Linked DNA regions of Rattus norvegicus. Each later gene encodes a partner of the first gene's protein in a complex. Links are inferred from orthologs where the notes say so. Each region holds a gene or a part of one and is shown on either strand. Other genes may lie near its edges. The genes, in order: Bach1 and Fbxo22.

Evidence for each region.
Region 2: the proteins of Bach1 (region 1) and Fbxo22 are in contact, whole or in part, in a cryo-EM structure (PDB 8S7D), measured with the Homo sapiens proteins. The link is inferred for Rattus norvegicus from reciprocal best matches to the Homo sapiens genes BACH1 and FBXO22. Residues at the interface, in NP_001177.1 of Homo sapiens: Ser7, Val8, Phe9, Ala10, Tyr11, Glu12, Ser13, Ser14, Val15; in NP_671717.1 of Homo sapiens: Asp366, Gly371, Asn372, Phe373, Ile374, Leu375, Arg376, Lys377, Cys378.

Annotation. Positions count from the first base shown.
Region 1 is NC_086029.1:40,445,981-40,449,792, reverse strand, and holds part of Bach1 (transcription regulator protein BACH1), read right to left. Parts: intron 3,726-3,812; coding exon 2,382-3,725; intron 247-2,381; coding exon 40-246; intron 1-39. UniProt on the Homo sapiens protein: Transcriptional regulator that acts as a repressor or activator, depending on the context. Binds to NF-E2 DNA binding sites. Plays important roles in coordinating transcription activation and repression by MAFK.
Region 2 is NC_086026.1:64,482,532-64,486,343, forward strand, and holds part of Fbxo22 (F-box only protein 22), read left to right. Parts: intron 1-1,027; exon of another isoform or gene 1,028-1,163; intron 1,164-3,216; coding exon 3,217-3,381; intron 3,382-3,812. UniProt on the Homo sapiens protein: Substrate-recognition component of the SCF (SKP1-CUL1-F-box protein)-type E3 ubiquitin ligase complex that is implicated in the control of various cellular processes such as cell cycle control, transcriptional regulation, DNA damage repair, and apoptosis.

The DNA.
Region 1 (3,812 bases):
GGGATTTAACAACCTGGAGCCACCCACCCACTCACTCACCAGCTTCTCAATTTCTGACTCAAGGTTCTGGATGCAGTCGAGCTTCCTCTTGCGACAGCGCTGGGCAGCGATCCTGTTCTTGCTCCTCCTGCGGATGTCATGGATACAGTCCAGCTGCTCTGGGGTCAGTTTGTGCATTTTCAACAAGGACTGGAAATCATTTCGTGAGAGCGAAATTATTCGTTGAGCATTGAAAGGCAGTTTCACCTAGAATGTGAAATAAACATTAGGGGCTACTGCAGTGAAGACAGGCCCTGCACATGAGCTAACGTGTGCACGGGGAGACACACATTTCATTTTCAGAGACGTTAGCACATTACAAATCACACAGACCTTGGGTCAGAGGAACGGTTCAGGGGTGTGGTGCGCTACTGCCCTGCAGAAGAGTTGAGGTCTATGTCTAACACCCATGTTAGGCATTTCACAAATGACTGTGACCCCAGCTCCAGGGGCCCAACACCTCTGCTCTTTGTGGACACCACCACACATACAAGCACACAGGGACACACCCACACACCTAAGTCAAATAAATCCCTAAAAGACTGTTCTTCCATTCCTACATAATCTACCCCGATAAGAACTAACAATAACAGCCCACCTGACACTCCTGGCCCGGGAGAGCATTCAAAAGTCAAACACTGCGGCAAACCAGACACACCAGCCAAAGAGTAATACATCTACAAGTTTACTACTGTATGTTAATATTTTAGTAGTTAGTATGTTAACAACTTCTTTAAGTTTCTGCCTAAAGTATTTTTAATATGTGTTCTTCATTTCCCCAAATGAATTCCATCTTGTCTTTGAGTATTACCACATAGCAAAGACACTACACTATACTGGTGTGAAGTATGCTAATCATGTCTATAGCACTTTAAGAAATTTCTTTTCTGTCAAAAATTTAGTTTCATATGACTTATTTAAAAAGCTATATCTCACTTGCCAATGGAGAAAGTATTAGAACAAATTAGGAACATTTTTTCCTAGAATAGTTTTTGGTCTGTGTGTTTTGGTGGTCCAGTGACTGAACCCAGGGCCTTAAATCCATCTCCTCCCAGGAAAGGCAGCCTCCTCTGACTAATCCATCCAATTGCTGCGAAGGAAAAGACGGTGATGAAGAACAGAACATGGGGGAATGGGTCCTGATACACGGGTGGCAGGAAGCAGTGCCGATGCCATGAAAACCAGCATCAAGTTCTCAGGAAGACTGAAGGTAGTTAGTACTCCTACCCCCAGGTACCTGTCCAAACGAACTGAATTCAGACCTCAAAGTGGCGTGGCGTCTGCCTTTCTACACGCACTGCTGTGCTCACACTGACAGCAGCCCAGGCAGAGAGACCGTCTGAGCCCCACACAAAGGGGAGTGGACAGAGGAAATGTGGTCAGCCTTATGGAAAGACGAGCTGCGGTCTGAAGAGCATTACAGCAAGCAAAATCAACCGAACTCCACAGAATGAACCTCCATTGCTTTCCCTATTACAGGCGATAACTAAAACAGGAAAGCCAACAGCGACAGAAGAGTGGTGGGTCAGGCTCTGGGAGATGGGGCAGGGGAGGGGCATCGGTGTCCAGTGAGTCTCAATGACAAAAACAAGTTATAGAGATACACCACGCAGGTACAATGAGCAGAGCTAAAAGTGCCATGCGGGACACTTCATAGACGGGCCTCGTGTTATCACAGGTTTCATAAAAAGATAAAAGAGTATGGCTGAAAAGTAGTTATAAAAACAAAGTGAAAACTTCCAGTGTAAAGAGAAAACTGACTTTTAAAAACAAAAGAATCCTTATTTCTAGTGCACGGACCTCTACTTTCTATCACTGAATCACTTCTCACAGAAAGCAAGCAGTACGTACAAACTTCTATACACTGAACGCGCACACGCAGACCAAGCTTGACACGGTTAATATGTCAGTAGCTACATGTAACTCATGCTAAATTATTAGGATACTCATTAAACAAATACTTAACATGGCTAAAGAAAAACAAAACAAAATAATACATAAGCTCAATAGCTATGAAAATCAATTCTGAGAAAGCTTTCCCTACAGGCCACAATCCTGCAGCTATTCACAGCCAACCATGGCCCACATCCCAGACTGGTCTCAGGTTTGTCAACCCGGGGGCTACAGGTACCACAGACTAAGGGATGCTCTTGTTTAACAGTTACCATTGGGGAAAGACCTGCTGCCCCTTCTCCCTACTGGGACATGTGATTACAAGGTACTCAAGCCTGTGTTGAGGTCTCCATGATTAATACGCACAGCAATGTGCGATGCATGCACACAGCCCGTCTCACCGCTCTGGAACTCGTCACACAGTCCGTCTGTCCCTCCCTCCCACTCACCTCACAGTCCTGCTCCCTGGCAGAACAGGACTCGCTGTCGCCTTCCGTGTCGGTCTCCGAGTCATCTCCCAAACTGATCACACAAGCATACGGGCAAGGCTCCTGCTGAGGCTCTGCGACGTAATCATAGTTTCCAATTTCCAAGTTGCTTGAGCAGCCTTCAGAACTCAGAGTACTAATAAAAGGGCAGTTGACGGAACTGAGAGTTGTGAAAGTCCGCTGGCCTGGCTCCGGGCTCTCGCTGATCCTGATACCCAACCAGGGACACTCAGATCGCCTTTGAGAGTAGCCCTGTTCTGAGCCATCTTTGGCCACAGCGGATGACAACTGCATTTGGCAAGGCGAGTCCGTGCTGCAAATGTCACTCCAGAAGCCTTTGGCCAGGTGCTCTGCCACCTCTCGCTCCACACTACTCCGATCCTCGGACGCAAGGCTGCTGCTGTCTTCTTTGGGTCCCATGTTAGACTTCAGGTATAATTCCTGATTTTCCAATGGCTTCTCGTCCTGGGCATCTGGACCCAACAGAGGCTTTTCTGTTTTCACTGTTTTACTCTGCAGCCCAGGAAAGCCCACATCGCCTGACTGCTCGTATGTGTGTAGGACCGACAGGGAATAGAGCCCGTGAGGTCCAGCAGAATCCTGGGACAAAGCAGTCACTTCAGCCTGCTCTGCAGGACACTGAGGGGCGGGGTCTTTGCACTTTGTGTCTTCCCTCTCCATGGCTGGCTTCATCCCTTCACATTTTAAGATCACTTGTAAATCTGCACAGCCCTGCGCTCCCCCTAAACACTCAAGTTCAGATGTCTCCTTTGGATGGACAGAGGCAGCATGAACATCTCTGACGCCGGATTCAAGAGTTCGGATCTTGTCGGTTCCAAATGCTTTCTGGAACTTTCTATATTTGGGGCATAAAGATGGCAGTGCCAGGGCTCCGTCCTTGTCCACGCACATGGACTGGCACGTCGGACCGACACTGTCTTGGAGATGGGGGGATGCTCTTACATTGCCCTGACATCTTTGGGAGTCACAATGAGAAGTCTGAGCACTTTTCTTTTCAAAGAATTCATCTGCTTCATCAATTTCTAGATCTTTCTGTTCTGAAAATGAAAATTTAAAATCTGCTTTCTGACAGTGTGAGGAGAAGCACTTTTTTCTTGCACATCCCTGCTGCTCTGAGGTGGAGTCCAAAAACTTAAACTTGAGAAACTGAAAGCAGGATTCCTCGATATTGTGTACGCTTAGAAACTCCACACACTTGCAGACTTCGTCAACATTGTCTTTACTTAAAATGAGTTTGGCAGTGTAGGCAAACTGAATTAAAGGTTCAAATCCTTTAACTGTTACCTGTTAATACACAAGATAAAAGTAAACGTGGTTTAATAGCTGTCTGGTCAAGACAACAGAAGCAGAAGAGCAACAAGGAGAGGGCAA
Region 2 (3,812 bases), on another chromosome or scaffold:
CTGCTTAAGGGCCAAGTGTAATCTCTGTCTTCTCTCAGCCAATCGCCAGGAGGGAAAATGTCCTCCTACCTCCCCAGATTAGGAAAGACCTGCAGCCAGTCCAGTCTGGTCAGCTCAGCCCCTCTTGTTTCTTGCGGGTAGGAGCGACTGAGAGGGACAGGTTTGTGGGCCTTACCTGCAGGCTTGTTTCTCCGCACGTTGCCAGCATGGCACGTTTGCCTTCGGTATTTGTATTGTTTCCTGTTGATGTAGTGATGGTACAGTGGTTAGGACACACGGATTAGGATTCCAGCTGTATCACTTAGGACTTACTTTGGACAGTTTACCGACATCCATGAGGCTTCAGTTTCTTCGTCGGTAAAATTGGAAGCTGACCCCAGTATCTCTGGAGGACTGTGAAGATGCAGTGATGTAACATATCCTTGGCATTTAGAACTAACCATGCAGCAAGAAGGTGTTAGTCCGCTATTGCTATTTTCTGGAGCCTAAACAGCCTTGCAGGTGGCTCGGCTGGTGAAATGCCTGCTACACAAGCATGAAGACCCTTGCCACCCTTGTCCCCACACAAGTGTCCTGAAGGATTTTGTTTGTATTTCCGAGTCTTGCGCAGTGAAACACAAAGGGTTCCAAGTGTTTGCAGCTGAGTAGGGGCTGTAGCTGCTCACACACTCATAAAGCAATAGCCGTGGCAATGGTTTTCTTCCAAGGTTTGAATTGGCATTAAGTGGCCGGTAGCCTTTTTATCATTGCTGGTTATGGTGGATGCTCATGTTGGGTTGTAGCTCGTGCCTCACATCTTAGTCTGTCCTTTGCATCCACTGTGGCTTCTCCAGACACAGTGAGTTCCTCCTGTTTGAGTTTTCTGTTACAGGAGTGGGGGCAGGAAAGAAAGGATCAGCCGTGGCTAGCAGGCCTGTGCTCCCTGGCGAGTCAGTGGCAGTTGCAGCTTTCCCTTAGTTGCTGCCCTGTCCTGAAGTAGCTTTGACTTTGTGCTACTTTAAGTCCTCATGATCTTGTTAGGGGCAAATATTAAATACCATTTCAATGCTCCAGCCAGAGTGTGGCTTCTGCTGTTTGCTGGACCCTCTCCAAGCTGGTTGTGGTGATCTAAATAAGAATGGCCCCCATAGCTTCCTGAAATGCTGGGTCTCCATGGAGAGGACCTGTTTGAAAGGATTACAGAGGATTACAAGGTGTGGCCTTGTTGGAGCAAGTTTGTCCTTGGGGATGGGCTTTTACATTTCACAAGCCCATACGAGCCCCAGTCCCCGAGCCCCAGTCCCCGTCTGTTCCTGTGGGTCTGGGTGTAGCTCCCAGCTGCCTCTCCAGCTCCTGCCTGTCGGCCACCATGCTCCCATCCCTGATGAAGACAGGCTAAGCCTTGGAAACTGAACAAGCCCCCAGTTAAATGTCTCCTTTTATGAAAGTTGCTTTGGTCATAGTGTCACTCCACAGCAGTATAACAGTGACTAAGGATGGTCTTTGAGGCTGGTAGTTTCTTTGTTGTTTCCTGACAACCCCTCCCAGAAATCTTCTGACTTGTGTGGCTAGGTTTGCCTGTCAGTGTCATGGTGCCTGTCCTCTTTTTTGTATTTTAGCTCTCACACAATATAAATAAATGTGGTTTTGAGGTTCATTTATGTTACAGTTCTCAGCAATTCCTTTAAAATGTGTTTGTGTGGGTGCCTGTGAGAGTGTGTGTCTGTCTGTCTGTCTGCATGAAGAGATCAGAAGCTGTCAAGTATCTTTCTCAGTTCTTTGATGCAGGGCCTCCCACTGACCTTGGGCTCACTGTTCAAGCTAGGCTTCCTCCATTGTCTGACCTTTGCTTGCTTGCGGTTAGGTGTGTGGGGGGGGGGCTTCCAGACTCTGGTCTTCACGCCTATATAGCAGACACTTTACCAGACTGAGCCATGTCCCAGCCCTTCGTTTAGGCATTTTGAGTCATTCTGTGATAAAAGGGACGAGATTTATTTTCTCATTCTGCTTTTCATAGACTGGTTTTCTGCTCCTAGGTTATCATGAACAAGGATGTTACTTTTGTGTAAGTTATAAGTTTCCTTGGAACTTAAGAAGTGAACTTATTGGTTTTTAGCACTGATACATATTTAACTCAAAAAGAAACTGCTAGTTTTCCAAATTTCTACCATGCCATACTCAGCGACAGGGTCTGAGGTTGCAGTTGCTCTGTGTCCCTGGTACTCGGGTCACGGCCTCTGAGTAACAGCCAGCGTAGGTGTGAGGATGACTCTGATGACCAGCTGCGCTGAGTACCTCTGTGTGCTTACTAGGTACTTGTTTGTGGACCTGTGACGAGGCTGGCTCAGTCTGCTGTAGTTTTAATTCAGACCATCCTGCATCTTCTCACAGGGATAGACTGTTAGGATTCCCTCCTCGCCTTTATTGGAGTAGCTCGTTTGCTGTTGCAATAAAATACTTGGCAAACACAATCTGGGTTGAACTTGCTTAGCTCACAGTTCAAGGGTGCATCCTGGTAGGGAGTCATGTGAGAGGCTTGAGAAAGCCGATCACACTGTCCTTACTCACGGAGCCCACCCAGCGTGACTGCTCCAGCTTGGCTGCAGGACTCCAGGCTCTGGGATGGTGCTGCCCAAGTTCAAGGTCTGACTTAACCTAATCTAGATCCTTCACACACTGCCCAGAGCGATGGTGGCTGTAAATCCTGTCGGGTTAACTAACCAGACACCACCACAAGCCTTATCGTAAACTCACATTTTTCTTTCATGTTTTAAGTTCACAGTATATCGTGTGGTTGTTTTCTTCTGTGTTTTTCTTTGAATATTTCCTACCCCGATTTGAGTTTAGAAACTTAACACTTAAAAAGGATTTATGTGTTTGACCTTTGGCCTGCATGTGTATCCGGGCACCACATGCATGCCTGATGCTCATGGACACCAGAAGAGGGTGTCAGCTCTGGAGCTAGAGTTAGACTGAGAACTGGAACAAGGTCTTCTGAAGAGCAGCAGTTCCTTTCATCTGGACTCAGCGACTGCTCGATTTGGATGCTTTGGTTTGTAAAGCTTCCTTTCTGAACACACCTGAAAGAGTATGGCAGGCATTGCCACCCTGAAGTTGCCAGAGAGCTGTGCCTCTGGGAGCAGCTGTTTGCCAGCCTAAGCTGCAGTTAGGATGCGATGGGCTGATACCACGTCTGGTTTCTATGAGATGTCCTTATGAAACTCTTTTTCTCCCTAGTGACTCCAATGGGATCAGGTAGCAATCGGCCTCAGGAAATAGAAATTGGAGAATCTGGTTTTGCTTTATTATTCCCTCAAATTGAAGGAATAAAAATTCAACCCTTTCATTTTATTAAGGACCCCAAGAATTTAACTCTCGAAAGACATCAACTTACTGAAGTGGGTAAGTTATTGTTATTTACTAGTTGATTTACGTAGTTTGAGACAAGGTCTATATAGTTCTGGCTACCCTTGCTCTCAGAGATCCCCCTACGTCTGCCTCCTGAGTGCTGGGTTTAAAAGTGCATGCTGTACACCCCACCCGCATTGTTATTTACTCTTACTTGCTCATTTTGTTGATTAACTTGCTCTGTTTTAGTTCTGGTCAGCTAGAAGCTTCTAGGCTACTGTTGACAAGGCTGTTCATGATTGGTAGAATTGATTTCAAATGATTTTATTTGTCGTGAAGTCCTAAATGTCCAGAGATAAACATTTTTATAAGCGTCCTGCCAATAAGCTTGTATAAGTGTTTTATTTGCACGTTGGTAAGTGTATGTAGCATGTGTGTGTCTGCTGCCCATGGAGAGCAGAAAAGGCCATCAGATGCCCTGGAAC